3 linked regions of the Macaca mulatta genome follow. The protein of the gene in region 1 interacts with the protein of each later gene in a pairwise test. Links are inferred from orthologs where the notes say so. Each region holds a gene or a part of one and is shown on either strand. Other genes may lie near its edges.

Region 1 (6,482 bases):
GCACTCCATCCTGACAACAGACCAAGACTCCGTCTCAAAAAAAAAAAAAAGCAAAAATAGACATTTTGAACGTGATTGCTTCTAATCACATACCTGGCATTGTTAAGTACTATGTAGATAAGGAAAATATTATCAAGGACAATTTGTATTAAGTATTTTGTTAATAGAATATTCTTGTTAAGATGTCTGTAAATGATGAGAGATCACATAGTCCAATAAATCCAAGGAGAAAAGCAAATCTGGTAGTCTTTTAAGATCTGTGTCTACTTATTGTAGGTTGTACAGTATAGTTAAAGTTGATCTTTCCTAGTGCCAAATTAATATAATTCTGAAGGCATTTAGAATAAAGTATCTTTGAACCAGTAAAAACTCTTTCACTGTGTTTTCAGGGCAAATCAGTGGTTTTACCTTGCTCCCCAGAAATTAGAGGAATATGAAAAAATGTTCATGTCATCATACATGGATAAAATAATTCAAATCAATATTTTCTCTATCTGGGTAGAGTATTATTAATAATTGAAGACATAGGAAATGCTTTAGGAAGTGTATATTAAATATATGCTTTTTTTTACACTACTGGTTTTCTTTGTTAAAATTCTTTTACTTGGCAAGCAGTATTCCAAAGCCAGAAATCTTATCTTAAAAGCAATTGAAACAATAATACTTACTTGGTTGTGTAATTCATTACATTCAGTGATTTTTTTTTGCATAATTAAAACCACTGTCTTAGTAAATTATCTGTCTGAAGCAGAATTAAGTTGTTGAGAATGTATGATCTTATATAGAATGAGTGCTGTCCTCTGAAAATAATGACTAATTCTATCATATATTTATTTGCTAATTATGGAATCAAAAATTTTGATAACATTCTAACTTACTTTAATGTACATACATTACTTAGACTTATAATCCAGATCAATAAAGTATTTGATAGTTTTTTTGTTAAAAAATGAAATTATGCCATTAATTAGATAATTCAATATAAACGAATGGCTCAAACTTGTGTTCAGCACCTTTGGATAACTCTTTATTTGGGAATAAGTGGGGATTTAATTAATATAAGTAATAAATGTTTGCCTTTTAATTTATGATATTAATTTTACTTGTTAAAAAAGAACCAGTTAACAACTATTCTATATCTTAGGTTTTAAATTTACCAATTTTTATTTCTTTCTGCTTTGTTAATTTTCATTTTAGTTTTTATATTACTCAAGTCATACTTTTTTCTTTGCCTTATTGATTTTCCTATTCCTACCTTAAATTTGAACTAGGAAGGGAAAGAGAGGATACTTAGAGCAGACTGTTTTGCTGCTTGTTGGCAAGTCTGACTGTATACCTTACATACCCAAAAAGTTAACCAAGGAGGAAGTTGGTGATATAGATTTTATTAGTTTATGCTCTCCTTGATATCCTCATTTGATCGAATTGATTATATATGAGCATTTTTATACATTGAAAAGAGATTATTTCATAAACTGGTTTTAATATCCCCAGTTTAGCTAGAATTAAACTCAGCTGCTGAAAATAAAAATTACCTAGAAACCCTAAAAACCTAATTCTCCTTATTTAAAAAAAAAAATCTTGTTACAGAGAAAAAAGAAAAATCAAGCAAGCCTAAAGATCCACCTCCTTTCGAAGGAATGGAGGTAAGACTGCATGCGTTCTGATCTAATAGAGGACTGAATTATCAGATATTGCCTTTTTCCATCAATAATACACACAATCACATTAAGCATGTGGTATTTTTTTAAAAATGACTGAACTCAGGTACCTGAGAAAGGTAGAAAACCATTATTTAATTGAAAAAGACAAAAAGTATTGGTTCTGCTTTTTTTTTGCGTGATCTCGGCTCACCACAACCTCTGCTTCCCGGGTTCAAGCGATTTTCCTGCCTCAGCCTCCTGAGTAGCTGGGATTACAGGTGCGTGCCACCACGCCCAGCTAATTTTTGTATTTTTAGTAGAGACGGGGCTTCACCATGTTGGTCAGGCTGGTCTCGAACTCCTGACCTTGTGATCTGCCCGCCTCGGCCTCCCAAAGTGCTGGGATTGTAGCTGTGAGCCGCTGTACCTGTGGCTGGTTGTGCTTTCTAAACAATTAATTTTGGTAAATGATGGGCAAAAATGTTTACATATTCTTATTGTAATATGTTGTGAAATATTGTTTAATCTACTATAGTAGATACAAATATTTTTTATTACATTTAAGATACTTTATATTGATAAACAATTTTTAAAGTTTATATACATCTCATTTTATCATGGGGTTTTGTATTAGAGTCCTAGGTCTAAAGATCTAAAATTTCCCTATCCAAAAGGATGGTTACTGTGAGTTCTTTGGAAATTTCTGTATTGTTATATCTGTATTGATCACAAAATATTATTTCTTTGACAGTGGATCTGTTGAGCATTGTTGATGAGTACTTTCTGCTTCTTCCTTTGTTTCAGATTGATGAAGTTGCTAACATTAATGACATGGATGAATATATTGAGTTGTTATATGAAGATATTCCTGACAAGGTTCGGGGTTCTGCTTTGATCCTGCAGCTTGCTCGAAATCCTGATAACTTGGAAGAACTACTATTAAATGGTGATTACCATAAAACATGTTTAATCATAATAGATGAATAAGTTACAATTATTTATACAAAACTTAAGACTGCATATATTTTCCAGCTCTTTATTTCTTTCTACTCAGATTTCTTAAATTGAGAGCATAGCATTTAAATATTCTCCGGAGAATTCACAAACCGTTTAATGTAAACAAGGAAAATTAAGCATTAATGGTACTATACCTTTTCTTTCTTCTACTCTGGGAAACTCTTTTATTGTTTCAATTAGAATATAAGATCAAACTACAGACATTTGCATAAATATATATATCATGTTTTATTAAAGTTCCAGTATTAGTTTTTTCTCAGTAGCACAGGGAAAGCTATTAATCTTTGCAGTTTCATTGAGATTGAATTTCACATCAAGTATTTGCTTTCCTTTCACTGGAAGTACTTGATAGTAACAAGAAAAGGAGATAGAATGTTTTTAACACCCTTTTCTCAGTAATACCACTATAGAATCATTTTTGTTTTGTTTTGTTTTGTTTTGTTTTGTTTTTGTTTTTGAGACAAGGTCTCCCTCTGTTGCCCAGGCTGGAGTGCGGTGGCACGATCTCTGCTCACTGCGACCTTCGGCTCACTGCAACCTCCGCCTCCCGGGTTCATGTGATTCTCCCGTCTCAGCCTCCTGAGTAGCTGGGATTACAGGCATGTGCCACCATGCCCGGCTAATGTGTGTGTGTGTGTGTGTGTGTGTGTGTGTGTGAAGTAGAGACAGGGTTTCACCATATTGGTCAGGCTGATCTGAAACTCCCGACCTCAGGTGATCTACCCGCCTCTGCTTTCCAAAGTGCTGGGATTACAGGCATGAGCCACCGCACGCCCTGCCTATAGAATCATTTTAAATCCATAGTTTTCTGATTATACATTTATCAAAAACAAAATAGGAAAGATGTGTTTATTATCTGGTTTGCATTACATGAGAGAGAATGCCTTTCTGGTTGTTGCCAAATACCTGGATAAAATAATTCAAATCAATAGTTTTCTCAATCAGTATTTTCAAATAAGTATTTCAAATGCCTTTTCTGCTATATGCTTGCCATTCTTTTATGAAATAGATAATTCTTGAAAACTTATTCTGTGGCAGGTACTGTTCCATATTTTCATGGAATTGTTTTAGTGTTCCCTCTCCTTCTGTTCCATTGGGTTTATTTGATTATTTACATACCGATACCACACTATTGTTGTGTTGTTTTTTATTTTGACTTGAACTTTAGAATATGTGGGAAAAAATGTTCCAAATTGCTTTCTTTCCCCAAGAATTGGCTTTACTGGTCTTGCACATTTGTCTTATATACTTTGAGATTACTTCATCATATTCTGTGAAAAGTCATAATGGGATTTTGATTATGATTGCATTCAATGTAGAAATTAATTTGGGATTGTCTTTTAACCTCTTGTAAACTATATTTTCTTTTAGCTGTTTCTTGGTAAACTGTGTACAACTCCTGTAACTGTATTTTTATTGAGATGTTCTGTTTTAAAGGAGAAAAATGAAATAAAATTTTGCAAATAGGTCACTAAACCTATACCTAAATTTATGACATTATAGAACAGTTCTGTATAGGCTAGTATTTTAAGAAATACTATTTTCTCTGGATTATAATGGTCAAATACCTTTGGGAATTACTAGATTGAACAAAGCTATACCGGATTCTTTATTAAATAGGACTTTTGGGAGGCTTTGCATGTTAATATGCATTGCCAATCTATTTACATGACTCCAAAATAATTTTTTTCAAAGCATATACTATTCCAGTTCTCTGCATTGTGAATATGAATAATACTGTGAAATGCTATCATAGGATGATTTTTAATTTGCTAAAAAATTTGTCACTATGTGGATTCATAACTAATACAATTAATTTTTGTTCATAGTCCGAATAGCCAGAAAGCTCAAATATGGAACATTTTCATTACCATAATAAATACTTATAATGCAGTCCATAAAGTACTATTGTAAATCCTGAGTATCTATTAAAAACAGTGGAATTATGATTTTTATATTTTAACATACAGATATTTTGTTTTAATTATTTTAAGAATTAGTATGCCATGTACCAACCCAATTTGAAACTATGTCATTAATTTATAATTTTCATTTCCTGAAGAGAAAATTTTAGCAGAAATGCTTATTAACCTACCTGAAAGTTAATTTTGTGAAAGCTTTTTGTTTTATTTGCAGCTATTAGCATAAATTCAGTGTGATACTGAAATATTAAATTTATTTTTCTGTGTATAGATTTTATTTGGTTTTTAATTTACTTTAATGGAACTAGTGTTAGTCTACTAAACTGCTCTTTTTTTCTAGACTTATTCAAGTTTTTTTCATATTATCAAATACATTAAATCAGATGTTAAAAAGAAAAAAATCAGTACTGCAGTAGTAAGAGTACAGTTCTTAATCTTACAAATTAAGATTGCAGTTCTTAATTTAAGATTATTAAATTAAAAAATGAAAGGCTTTTTAATTATTTTATTGTTACCATAATATATATTATGTCACTTTATCTAAATCATATTTGATTACTTCTGTGTACAGTATATACTTGAAGTAGCATTTTACGTATCTTTAAGTAAAGTTACATTTTAGTTTTAAAAGTAGCTGTCCGTATTGGAAAGAAGCATACTACTTTTTGTCCCAGTTCTATCTTAGCTTTGTTATTTATTAATAACTAGACATTTAAAACCAATCACCCTTTATACCAGAGCAAGGAGAATGATCATTTCGGTACTTCTCCTTTTTCTTTAGAAACTGCCCTTGGTGCATTAGCAAGGGTCCTGAGAGAAGACTGGAAGCAAAGTGTTGAGTTAGCTACAAACATAATTTACATCTTTTTTTGCTTTTCCAGGTGAGTATAAAAATTATTAAATCAAATGACTACTGTATCTCTATTGCTGTTTGTGTCATTGATTCAATATGTAGATCACTCGTTCTCTCAGTTTCTCTGTGTGTCTGCCTATGCTGTACCGCTAAATTCTTATTCCTGTTTCCCATTTTCTGTCTTGCTATCTGTTATTCTATCTTTCATTTAGTCTATACTCACTCATGCCTCAGTTTCCTTATGAGTAAAATTTGGATAGTAATAGTCGCACCCTCTTTGGATAGTTTTTCGAATTAAATGAATTAAAAATTAAAATGCTTAGAATAAGGCCTGACCCACAGTAAGTGCTCAGTAAATGTTATTGTTATATATATGCATGTATGTGCAAATACATACCTATTATGTATTCATATTTATTATTTATGCACATATATCCTTAAGAAAGATGTTTATTAAAACGTTACGAAAAGTTCTAGCCAATTCCTAGAGAATTGCTGCTTCTGTTCTAAAAATGTGCTAGTATTAGCAAATAATTGTTTATTGAATAAATACTTGGATGAATGAATTGTCCAGAAAACATATGTAAAACCTAATTACTAGTACTTTACTAATTGATGTCAGTTTTACACAATAAATAAAATGTATGTCTAGTATTGATACATTATTGTTTTGTTAGACAATAATCTAAAAATCTATTGTGAATATCTGAGTAGTTAATATGGTGGTTAGTTACAAAAAATGTCTACTTTCTAACTTCTTAAAAATAACTGTATTTTAGGTAAGGGTAGTGTGATATATTTAAAATAATTTTATAATCTCAAGTCTTTCTAGTAGTGTATTGTTGATATATCTTTTAAAATATGTATATCAAATTTATTTTCTACATGGTTTGTACCATTGATCACCAAAAACAAATTTCCTGTACCCATAAAATGTATTCTTTTAAATATATATTAAAATGTCTTCTTTAAAGCTTTTCTCAGTTTCATGGACTTATTACTCATTATAAAATTGGAGCTCTGTGTATGAATATTATTGATCATGAG
Region 2 (5,638 bases), on another chromosome or scaffold:
CCTGCCTTTCAACTAGGAGCAATTAATTCTCTTGCCCAGAAGGGAAAAAACACTCCCTCACCTCCCCTCCCCCTTCTCCCAGTACCAAGGCCCTTCCCGAACACGTCGTCGAGTGTGTCTGCAGGACCTGGGGCTTCAAGGCCTGGGAGCTAGCCAGACCCAGGCAGGCCCAGGACCTGGACTTCCAGCAGCTGCCCTCGGAAGTACCGATGTTCGAGTTCTCCAGCGAGACTAGAGAGCCTGCGCCCCTGCCTACAGCCGCACCCACACCCTAACCTGCTCCTGGTTGGGAGACTCCCACGTCCCACCTCTGCCTCAGGCCAAGGGGAAGCAGGGACCCCCGCCCCTCCCTAGCTGGCCCCCACATCCGAGCCCCGACTGGTCCCCAAAGATCCCTCCACCCAGCAGAGCCAGACACAGGGCTCAGGCAGGCAGGAAAGGCCTCAGTCCGTGGCTTCAAACGCTCTCTTCGCTCTTTTTTTCACTCCAGAGCTATTCCTAGGATGCCCCATTCAGCCCGTGCTTTAGAGCCTGAGTGTTTGGCCCAGGCTTTTAGGGCACTTGTTTGGCATTTAAGGCCCTGAACGCAACTGCCCCCTGCTGCTCGCTCTATCCTTCGCTCCATTGTTCCCCTTCAAAGCATTCAAAAGCCAGGCAGCCCGCAGAAGGCGGGGACCTGTCCGCATGGGGACGGAGGGAGCGGCCGACAGGCATCGGGCCCGCCAGGGACGGGTCCAGCGGGCCGGGCAGGGGCGGAAGGAGGGCGCCGCGGACGCCGTGGGAGCTTGGGCCAGCTCCCTTCCACCGGCGCCGGGGCGCGGCCGAGGCAGTGCCCAAGCCCGCCCTTCCCCCGCACCCCACGCGCAGAACCCAGAGCCGCCGGACCAATCAGAGCCTGGGAACGAAGCTTGCCGCGGGCTTGCGAACCGGAAGACACTGACGCCAGGCGCGGGGCGGGCCAGAGCTCCGCCTCCGGCCCATACAAAGGGAAGCCCACGTCTTAAGCCAATCAGAACACAGCCTCGCCCGAGCCGGGAACCGGAGAGCTGCGGGCGTGCGCAGACGCGCCTTTCCGGCCCCGGCCCCGCCCTGCCGGTCTCCGGGCTCCGCTTCCACAGCAGCTGGCTGCCTGCTGGTCACGTGCCAGGCGCCAGCCAAAGAGAACCGAGCTCCAGGTCTGTTTGGCGAATTTTCAACCTGGCGGAGGAGCAGTGCCACCTGCAGTAGCAGGGTACACAGAGGGCTCAGGAATACAGGGCCCGCCCAGGGACTAGGAACAGCAAGCGATGGCTTTGCAGCCGGAGGGAAGGGAAGGGAGGAGACACAGGAGAGAGCGTTACGGTTAGGGTGACTCCATGAAAAACAGGATTTTGGTGTGTGTGTATTTATTTATTTATTTATTTAGAGACGGGTCTCTGTCCCTGGAGTGTGGTGGCGTGATCAGGGCTCACAGCAACCTCCACCTCCCGGGCTCAAGGGATCCTCCTGCTTCAGCCTCCCGAGTAGCTGGGATTACAGGCGTGCACCACCACACCTGGTTTTCTATTTTTAGTAGAGATGGGGTTTCGCCATGCTGCCCAGGCTGGTCTCCAACTCCTGAGCTAAAGTGATCCGCCCACCTCGGCCTCCCAAAGTGCTGTGATTACAGGCATGAGCCACCGCACCCAACAGCCACCCAGTTTTGTATTCTGCATGAAATTATTTTGAGGGAATAAATGGCTTTATGTATTTGTGTAACCCCATAGAAACTGTACAACACAGACAGGAAACCTAATGTAAACCATGGGCTATAGTTTACAATAACTTATCAGTATTAGCTCATCAACAATAACAAATACACCAACTAATACAAAATGTCAATAGGGCAAACGGGGGGAATTGTACTAAAAATAAATTATTTTCAAATGCAAACTCAGGGAGTAGACTCAAGAGGTATCATGGACTCACTGACCATTAGGGTGGCAGGGAAGGGAGGACTCAAGGACCGTTGACAGGGCGTCTGGCTGGGTCATTATACTCAGGACAGCTGTAGATAAGCCCAATGAGCAGTCAGATGTCCACATCTGGAGCCCACGGCTATGCCGCAGAGCTGCTGTAGCCCAAAGCAGGTGTGATTAGGGAGAGAAAAGGTCTGAAGGTGAAGATGGGAGGAGAACTGAAGGCTACCAAGAGTGGGAGCCCTGCTGTTGAGCTTTGAGCCTAAGCGGCCCAGGCTTATGCCACAAAACACATTCAGCGTGGCCAAGCAGACCTCCAAGGCAGGGTCTCTCCCTAAGCCCAGGGCCTCCTTCCCGGGGCCACAGCTGCTGAAGGCCATGAGACTGGGGAGTCCCACCTCCAAAGCTCTTCCCTTCTATTCGGACTGGCAGGATGCTCTGGGTCAAAAGGCTGAGGCTCACCTCCCCACCAGAGGACCTGGAGAAACACACCCTCTAAATGTGCACACGCACACACACGAAGTTCCCCAGTGCCACGGAGCGAATTTATTGTGAAAGCTCGTGGGGTGAGGAAGGGATGGGGCAGGCTCTAGGAGGCCGAGTCGGAGGCCTCTGAGCTGTCCTTGACATCTGTGCTCTCTGTGGTCTCGCTGACCTCGCTGAGGTCCTTGCTGTCCCCACCACTATCCTCGGCAGCCAGGCCCTTCTCCTCGCGACAGGCCTCTCCTGAGCTCGGAGGTGAATTGCCTTTGCTCTCCACCTTGTTCTCGATGGCACCCAGCACCACATGCCTGCCCTTCTCCTTCAGCTCCAGGTGCCGCCTCAGCTGCCACCAGGAACCCAGGGAGAAGCAGGAGGTAAAGAGATGGGGCCTAAGTTTCCAGACAAAGGGAGCCTGGCCCTGTCGCTGGCTGAGGAGAGGGGCATAGTGAGGCAGCAGGGCTAGGCAGGACACGTGGGACTGAGTGGGGACACCTGGCTGGAGCCCCAGTCCACTGCTACCTGGGCTCACTGACTACCATGGAGGCCCCCACGACACAGCGTTGCCCCTTGACCAGCCCTGCCACCCAAGGAGCCTGGGGCAGAACCCTGACTCAGAACTACCTCTGAGCAGGCAGGCCACCCACTGGTCCCCAGGCCTCCCCACTTCCCTTCTAAAAGCCTCCTCCCTCTGCCTCTCCCATCACCCTCCAGGCTGCTAGGCAGACGGCCTCCTCTAAAGCCCAACCTAGGAAACTGAGGTTGTGACTCCTGGCAACATAGCCACAAGGGCTGGCATTCAAAGTTGGTCGCACCTCCAGCCACTGTCTCGGGGCTCCCCAATGCCACCCCCGCTTGCCTGGCTTGGCTTCATGCAGGCTCTTACCTCGTCGGCCATCTGAGTGAGGTCTCGCTTCATGGCATAGGCGTCCTCCCCATCTGCATAGTATTTGGGCTCCACTTCACTGATCCTGGGGGCAGAGGGTAGAGAGCAAGGAGGAAGACCCATACCTGGGGGACACCCTCCTCCACTCCTAGTATCATGGCTACTGGAGCAAGATGCCGTGTTTTCTCCCTGAAGGGCTCCTTCCTGAGACAGCAAGTCCAGTGTGACCTGCCCTCTGTTCTCTCCAGCAAAGGCTCCAGGAAACAGCGGCCCGCCCCACCCCTGTCCTGCCCCCGTTCTGTGTCCTTAGCCTGGCTACTAAGGATTCATTTCTGTGGTTTCTTGTGAGCTGAATTCCTGAATTCAGCCTTCCCCTTCCCTCCCTGCCCTGCGTCCTGTCCCTTACTGAGCTGCCTCACAACAGCCATCAGAACCCAGGAAAGACAGTGAGCTCTGTTTAGGGGAGTCATCCCTAGGCAGCACGGGCCCTGCCTGAGCAGCTCAGGGGCCATGCCTGCACTGGGGAGGCATGTGTGCAGACTCGGGTGGCCATGTCCCTGGAAGGGGAGCTGGACTCAATGGCCTAGGCTGGCCCTGCCAGGCCTAAGACATGAGGATTGTTGACTTAGCTATAAAGCAGTTCCCACCAGACATCCTCATCTGGGTCACAGATCCCTCTTGCCAGCATCCAGCCCAGAGGCCACTGCCCTTCCCAACAGTCCCTCCTCTTCACCCCTGCCAAACAGGGGCTGACTGCAGTTAGTGTCCCTCCACGGGCAGCCCACCCCAGCTTCACTTGCAAGCACTTTTTTCCACTGTCTACTGGGCATGCTAACTGCCAGGTCCTCTCTCCTGTGCTAGGCACACGGGGCCTCCCGGTCCTCAGGCAGACCTGCCCCATCCACTAGGTTGCCTGGCCGCCGGTCCTTCCTTCCTGAACGTGCATTCTCCTTGATTCTGCTCTCTCTTGGATTCTTCCAGGTGCTTGGCCATGCTATGATCTGCTCACGCCAGGGACCCACACCTCTTTATTCCCAAACATTACTAAACAGCCCGTGTGCCCTTCACCAGCCTCTGCCAGCATGGGCCAGAGCTCCTCCATCACAACACACACGGAGCACGTTTCAGCAGGCAGGTGCTGTCTCCATGCCGGCTTTTCAACCATCAGCCACCGAGTGAATGTGGAGGCATCCTGGCAGCACTGGGGTCCACAGCGTCCTCCCCACATCCGGCCCACCCCTAGCCTGGAAGGCAACTCAGCCGGTCTCAGGTGCCCTGATGGGCCAGACCTGGGGCCAACCCCAGCCCACGAGAAAACTCGAGATCTACTTACTGAAAGTTGAGGGTGTTGGAATAGAGGTGCAGGGCGGCCCGGTTACTGCAGGGGAACAAGGCACTGCTGAGCTGCACGGACATGGCCAGGGAGGGGTAGCACGTCCAGTGCCTGCCCCTCCTCTTGGTCCCTCCTTCACCCCAATCCCACTTCCTGGATCTTCACCAAAAGCCGAGGTACCCCAGGACCCCCGTCAAGGCAATATCTCTCCCCCTCAATCCCCCTTCCCTCAGCCCGGCTTCCACCTCTTCCTGACATGCAGGGAGACGTATTTGGCATTGAAGTTCTCTATCATGGCTCGAGAGGCCTGGTCCATCAGTTTCTGAGCCAGACCGAGGCGCCGGTGGGAACGCTTCACAGCCTGGTAGGAGAAGAGCAGAGAGCGGGTGAAGGACTGGGACCTTGAGGGCTGCCTCAACTAACCCCCACTTCCACCCCCACCAGAGAGCCTGAGTGAACCTTACATACCAATGAAGTGATATGTCCATGGGGCACATCATCTGGGTCCTCTTCCCTGGAGAGGGACAAAGCAGAGGCTGCAAAGGAGCTCAGTGTAGGCACAGCCACCCCCACCCCCCGCCATCTGTAAAGTGGATATGCAAATTCTAGGCTGGCCCTACAGCCCCCTAAGACCCCAGCTGGGGGAGGGCCAGGAGCCTCTTGGATCAGAGCAGCTGATCCTGCCACCCTCTACTGCCTGAAAACCCCATGCCTGCCAGGTATGGGGCACACGCCTATAGTTCCAGCTACTCGGCAGGCCGGGTCAAGAGGATTGCTTGAGCCCAGGAGTTTGAGACCAGCCTGGACAACACTTTTTTTGTCTCTACAAAAAAAAAAAAATCAAAAAATTAGCTGGGTGTGGTGGCGCATGCCTGTGGTCTCAGCTACTTGGGAGGCAGAGGTGAGAGGATCACTTGAGCCTGGGAAGTTGAGGCTGCAGTGAGCCATGATCATGCCACTGCACTCCAGCCTGGGCAACAGAGCAAGACCCTATCTCAAAAA
Region 3 (6,482 bases), about 14 Mb from region 1:
CTTGAGCAAGTCACTCTTTCTTTTTTTTTTTTTTGAGACGGAGTCTCGCTCTGTCGCCCAGGCTGGAGTGCGGTGGCCGGATCTCAGCTCACTGCAAGCTCTGCCTCCCGGGTTTATGCCATTCTCCTGCCTCAGCCTCCCGAGTTGGGACTACAGGCGCCCACCACCTCGCCCGGCTAGTTTTTTTTTTGTATTTTTTAGTAGAGACGGGGTTTCACTGTGTTAGCCAGGATGGTCTCGATCTCCTGACCTCGTGATCCGCCCGTCTCGGCCTCCCAAAGTGCTGGGATTACAGGCTTGAGCCACCGCGCCCGGCCATCAAGTCACTCTTTCACTAAAGCAACTCACACTAAAACAGCACAACAATTCTTCTTCTTCTTTTTTAACCGGTTTGAATACACTGTATACAATAGTTCTTGTCCGTTCCTAACCTATTTGGTTGTTAGAAGAGTACACATGATGTTGCATTGATGCATTCCATGGTGTTTTCTTAACACCATATTTGTGTTTGATGTACCTCAATAGCAAGACTAACTGCACTATATTTTAGATATTCCCAGGAGAGCTGAGGAAGGGAGAAAGGCCACCAGCAACACTCCCGGAGTACACGTGTGAGCCCTTCCCCGGCACCTTGATTTGGAGTAGTCTCAAATTTTATGTTGCGGTCTGTACTTTTCTAGGTGTTATATAACATTGCTTTCATGTATGCCAAGAAGGAGGAATGGAAAAAAGCTGAAGAACAGTTAGCATTGGCCACGAGCATGAAGTCTGAGCCCAGACATTCCAAAATCGACAAGGCCATGGAGTGTGTCTGGGTAAGCGTATTGGTGATGCAGGTGGGGAGAGGATTTCACTGGATTCTCATTTGTCTCAGAGGACATGCCATTGAGAAGCCATAAAAGTGGTGCTTTTACTTTCTGAGTCTGGGTAACACAGATGTTAGGGTATAGTTCCACTTACGATCTTGAATCTGTGCTGAGAACCTGAGGCCTAGAGTATGGGATGGCAGAGGCCTGGCAGCACACCGCCCTCGCAGTGGGGCTCCTGGGCAATGCAGAACAGGATACTGGATGCTGGAGCGGCACTGCACAGACTGTAAGCACTGAGAGGGCAGACACCATGTCTGCTGGATCACCACTGAGTCCTCACAGCCTGGCACAATGCTAGGCACGTAACAGCTCTCAGCAAAAATGTTTTGTTTTGTTTTGTTTTGTTTTGAGATGGAGTCTCGCTCTGTTGCCCAGCATGGAGTACAGTGGTGTGATCTCGGCTCACTGCAGCCTCCGCCTCCTGGGTTCAAGCAATTCTCCTGCCTCAGCCTCCTAAGTAGCTGGGATTACAGGTGCATGCCGCCATGCCTGGCTAATTTTTGTATTTTTAATAGAGATGGGGTTTTGCCATGTTGGCCACGCAGGTCTCGAACTGCTGACCTCCGGTGATCTGCCCACCTTGGCCTCCCAAAGTGTAGGAATTATAGGGGTGAGCCACCACGCCTGCCCACAAAATGTTTTGATTATGTGAATGAGTGATAAAAATTAGCCATCGTTCAAGCATATTTGTGAATAAGGCTAGCTTTAAATCCGATTTTTAAAACACAGAGAAGAGGACTCAAGTCAGTGTTTATATGCCTATCCTCGTCAGCAGACACTCATCCAAGGGAACACTGTTATGAGCCTCACTTAATCCCGGGCCAGCCTCGTCGCGGTGGTGCCGTCTACACCATTAGAGAACCCCACGGACACCACACAGAGAGGGAGAGGAGCAGTTCCTCTGGGAAAAGAGGGTGCTGGGCATATAGCAGCAAACAACGTCCACGTGGCCTCACAGCAGAAGGTGGTATTCAAACCAGGGGTTCCTACCTTAACACCCTAGAGCAATGACAACACTCATTTGGAAAAAGTGCTTCTATGTGGTTATCTCAATAAATTCTTGCATCTATTCGCTGAGGGAGGCAGGACAAGCATCGTCACCCCCATTTTCAGATAAGGAAATGCTACGTTTTCTGTGTTACAGAAGCAGAAGCTGTACGAGCCAGTGGTGATCCCTGTGGGCAGGCTGTTTCGACCAAATGAGAGACAAGTGGCTCAGCTGGCCAAGAAGGATTACCTAGGCAAGGCGACGGTAGGTGTCCCCTGAGTCTCCTGTGGCCTGGGCCATGTGGAGCAAGGTGGGAGGGACTCTTGAGAAGAGGGCAGCCTCCTTGTGGCTCTGTCCCTGGGATGGCAACAAGAGACTTGTTTATAGGACAGAGGTTTGGCTGAAAGATAGGCAACCACTTCTAGTTTATTTTCTCCAGGCTGCTCCCATTCCTCCCTTCCAGCTTGACCCTGGGTGAGAGCCATAGGGTTCCCCACAGGATGCTGAGTCTTGGGGACTGAGCCAGTGGAGGGAAAACACAGCCATGAGGAGCTCACTAAATGTGAAGAGAAGGCCAGGCAGGGTGGCTCATGCCTGTAATCCTAGCGCTTTGGGAGGCTGAAGTGGGAGGATCACTTGTGGCCAGGAGTTTGAGACCAGCCTAGCTAGTGGAGAGGCTGTGAGGCGAAAGGGTCACTTGAGCCCAGGAGTTCAAGGCTACAGTGAACTATGATTGCACCACTGTACTCTAGCCTGGGCAACAGAGTGAGACTCTGTTTCTAAATAATAAAAACAAATATGGAAAGAATATGTTGGGGAAAGAGATCAGCATGGGTTCCTCTTGGATTAATGCTCCTTGTAGTTCACGTGTTAGTGGGCTGAGGAGTGTTTCCCTACTTCCACAGCCCTGTGTTTAGACTATGTCTTAAATTGCACTTCTTCTAAATCCAGGTCTTGGCCGGGCGTCGTGGCTCACGCCTGTAATCCCAGCACTTTGGGAGGCCGAGGCAGGTGAATCATGAGGTCAGGAGTTCAAGACTAGGCTGGTCAACATGGTGATACCCCGTCTCTACTAAAAATACAAAATTAGCCAGGTGCTGCGGTGCATGCCTGTAGTCCCAGCTACTTGGGAGGCTGAGGCAGGAGAATCGCTTGAACCTGGAAGGCGGAGGCTGCAGTGAGCCGAGATTGCGCCACTGCACTCCAGCCTGGGCAACAGAGCATGACTCTGTCTCAAAACAAAACAAAACAAAACAAAAAACAAAAAAGGGTAATTTGACGTTACACAAATTGCACCTCAATAAAAACATTTGTTTTTAGAGAGGAGAAAGCAAGCCTCTGTTAGCAGGGGTTGGGTGAATACTCGTTTCCTCAGTTGCTGAAATCCTAATCCAGAGGATCAGGAATCTAATCCTCAGTTACTGTCCACGTCTGAAACCAGGCTCAAGTGAGAACCGGTCTAGGGCATGAGCAAGGAGGGAGAGCCAGAAGAATGGAAACCGTGCTGGCAGAGCCTCACACCCTCCTGTCCTTGATTTCAGGTTGTGGCGTCTGTAGTGGATCATGACAGTTTCTCTGGGTTTGCCCCTCTGCAACCACAGGTGAGGCAATCCTGACCTTCTCCATGGACCTAGGTCTCAAGAGCTTTCTGTGAAGCATTCGATTCGAGAGACTATGTGTGCTGAGCTGCCTTATTGAAAGGGCTCCTTCAAGTGGCCCTCAGTGCAGCTGAGGGATCTGCCTGCCCTCTCTCAGTCCTGGGTTCCATGGCTGGTAAGGAAATAAGGCAGTGTCAGGCTTCACCCCAAGTCCTCTGAAGCTAACTCTCCTGCCTCCCCACAAATGCCAGTCTTCACGTCTCTAAAGAGATCTGCTGATACTCTCTCTGAAGCCTCAACCATTCTCTCAGGAAGGTGAAACACAAGTTATGGAAGGCTTGTTAACAAAGCCTCTTCTTGAGTACGGGGCAAGTGGGGAACCCTGTGGGGCCTGGGTCTGAGGTTTGGGCTCTCCTGGCTCTACCCATCTGCTCATGTGCAGGCGTTTCCTTCGGGAACACAGGCAGGGCGCTGAGAGTGAACCTTTTTCTGTCCAAACTGGGCTTGGAGAGGTGGGCTCAGATGAACTGGATGACAGTGGATCTAGAAATGCAGACAGAGATTCCTTGCGAAGGGAAGAGGGGAAAACGCATTGAGGAAAATAGGAACTCTGTGGCAATGAAACTGTGATGGTGAAGAGCATTGGTCAGCACCAGCAGAGGGCGGGTTTTCTGAGCAGGGGCAGGTATGTTCCAGATCTAGATTCCTTGATCTCTTTCTTCACAATAAAGCTGATGAAAGCCTTGCTGAAGTCCCTTGAGCTTCAGTTCAGCCAGAGGCCATGAAGGGAACGCAGCCCAGGTCACTGGATCCCTTGGTATTCAGTGTAGAACAGGGGAGGAGATTCTTGCCCAGTCAGTGGAATCCTGTGTCAATTTTAAATACTCAGAAGTGGCCAGGCGCAGTGGCTCATGCCTGTAATCCCATCATTTTTGGGAGGTTGAGGTGAGCAGATCACTTGAGGCCAGGAATTCCAGACCAGTCTGGCCAACATGGTGAAACTCCCATCCCTACTAAAAATACAAAAATTAGCAGGGTGTGGTGGCACATGCCTGTAATTCCAGCAACATGGGATGCTGAGGCAGGAGAATCACTTGAACGAGGGAGGCAGAAGTTGCAGTGAGCCAAGATCACACAACTGCACTCCAGCCTGGGCGACAGAGTGAAACTCTATCTCAAAAAAAAAAAAAAAATTTTTTTTAATTAATTTTAAAATACTTAGAAGTGTCATGTGACATAGTAGACATTAATTACAGAACAGAGCTTCTGGAAACTCTCCTGGGAAAAGGACAGAGCTCAAGGTCAAAGCATTCTTGTGACACCATGTTGCTGTGTGACTGCTAACCTCCAGAAACTAGCTCTGGCTCAAAATGAATTGCTGCGCTAGTGAAACCTACACCTGGGGAGCTAGTGGGAGGTGTTATTTCCCAGTGTTTAGTCAGGGTGACTGTGCCCCCTTCCTAGACAGTGTTCCCATCAGTCAGAAATGCATTATTTGACGTTTTGGTCTGGAAGAATGCTCAAATTACCATTAGCCATTTGTTGTCTCTCCCCTGCTTTCCCTCATTGCCTTTTCCATTTTCACTTCTCCTGAATATTCAATAGGCAGCTGAGCCTCCACCCAGACCGAAAACCCCAGAGATCTTCAGGTAAGTTAGATTTAAATCCATATGCAGAATATCTAAGCTCCAAGCCTGAACCGATGGCAAGAGAGGGAGGGAAGAAGATGAAGCTGGGGTCAGAGTCTAAATCCTGTGGAATTTTCTAGAATGTCAGGTTTCTTCTAGAATGTCAGGCTTGAAAGGAATGTTTAGAAGAATGTCTTCTAGAATGTCAGGCTAGAAAGGAATGACATGTGGGGATGGGAGTCTTGACCGAGGTGGAGCTGGCCATCAGGGCCTGGCTGCAGATACATGGTTCCCAATGGCCCTCTGTCCACGTGCACAGCCAACCACATGGCAAGGGGTTGTTGCTGAGGGGCAGTGGTGTCCTGTGGAACATAGCTACCCTGGGGACCAGGATGCTGACCTCACGTTGGAGATCAGTTTCGCATTGGCTGCGGTCCCCTCTGATGGGGGCAGGCCAGAGCTCTCCGGAGTCAGGAATGTAGAATGGCATCCTTTTTCCTGTGTAGGCGTTTTCCACTCCCTATCGGCACATGCTTTCTGAAGAAGTAAAGAGGAAGGACTCAAGAAAAGGAAGTCCTTCTTCTGTAAGATGAAAAACAAAGGGTGTCATAACCTACAGCTTTCTTAAGAATTATCTCGAAGTGATGAAGCAAGCCTGGTCCTCCCACCCAAAAAGGAGGTTTTAAAAAGTGATTGCCCAGGCGTGGTGGCTCATGCCTATAATCCCAGCACTTTGGGAGACCGGGGTGGGCGGATCACTTGAGATCAGGAGTTCGAGACCAGCCGGGCCAATGTGGCAAAACCCCATCTCTACTAAAAATACAAAAATTAGCTGAGTGTGGTGATGCGTGCCTGTAATCCCAGCTACTCGGGAGGCTGAGGCAGGAGACTCACTTGCACCTGGGAGGTGGAGGTTGCAGTGAGCCAAGATCACGTCGCTGCACTCCAGCCGAGGCAACAGACCAAGATTCCGTCTCAAAAAATAAAAATAAAACTAAAAAGTGACAAAAGTACCAAAGCAACTACAAAAATGAGGGGCTGGATGAGCTCATTCCTAAGCTCCCTGTCAGCTGCAAGGGCCTGTATTCCCTACAGGAATAGCCTGGAATAGTCTGGAAACAAGGAAGGGCTGAGGGGAAAGTAACAGAGTGGGGAGTAAAGGGAGGGAAGCCTGAAACCTGAACACCAACCTCTCAATCACACGTTCCAAAGTGACGCCAATCAGAGCCTCAGAGCCTAAAAGCATGAAGTCAGACTTAAGGGAACCGACACTGCACCACAGCAGCTGGGCAGTCTCAGAGCCCTCTATGTGCCTCCCTCACGCTCCCTGTCACCTACCCTGCTCACCGTCTCCCTACCCTGGCCTAACACTGGCTCTAGGTGGTTTCTCCTTCCTCCT

What was found.
Region 2: the proteins of KIFAP3 (region 1) and NAA10 interact in binary tests that used the Homo sapiens proteins (3 or more experiments, as listed by UniProt). The two-hybrid records come from large-scale screens. The link is inferred for Macaca mulatta from reciprocal best matches to the Homo sapiens genes KIFAP3 and NAA10.
Region 3: the proteins of KIFAP3 (region 1) and NCF2 interact in binary tests that used the Homo sapiens proteins (3 or more experiments, as listed by UniProt). The two-hybrid records come from large-scale screens. The link is inferred for Macaca mulatta from reciprocal best matches to the Homo sapiens genes KIFAP3 and NCF2.

What each region holds. Positions count from the first base shown.
Region 1 is NC_133406.1:27,543,142-27,549,623, reverse strand, and holds part of KIFAP3 (kinesin-associated protein 3), read left to right. Parts: intron 1-1,590; coding exon 1,591-1,646; intron 1,647-2,447; coding exon 2,448-2,589; intron 2,590-5,363; coding exon 5,364-5,463; intron 5,464-6,409; coding exon 6,410-6,482. UniProt on the Homo sapiens protein: Involved in tethering the chromosomes to the spindle pole and in chromosome movement. Binds to the tail domain of the KIF3A/KIF3B heterodimer to form a heterotrimeric KIF3 complex and may regulate the membrane binding of this complex.
Region 2 is NC_133426.1:160,173,681-160,179,318, forward strand, and holds the end of NAA10 (N-alpha-acetyltransferase 10), read right to left. Parts: intron 5,151-5,638; coding exon 5,078-5,150; intron 5,031-5,077; coding exon 4,882-5,030; intron 4,682-4,881; coding exon 4,637-4,681; intron 3,389-4,636; coding exon 3,304-3,388; intron 2,764-3,303; coding exon 2,527-2,763; 3' UTR 2,461-2,526; downstream 1-2,460. UniProt on the Homo sapiens protein: Catalytic subunit of N-terminal acetyltransferase complexes which display alpha (N-terminal) acetyltransferase activity. Acetylates amino termini that are devoid of initiator methionine.
Region 3 is NC_133406.1:41,050,933-41,057,414, reverse strand, and holds part of NCF2 (neutrophil cytosol factor 2), read left to right. Parts: intron 1-680; coding exon 681-815; intron 816-2,013; coding exon 2,014-2,121; intron 2,122-3,398; coding exon 3,399-3,458; intron 3,459-5,060; coding exon 5,061-5,104; intron 5,105-6,482. UniProt on the Homo sapiens protein: Subunit of the phagocyte NADPH oxidase complex that mediates the transfer of electrons from cytosolic NADPH to O2 to produce the superoxide anion (O2(-)).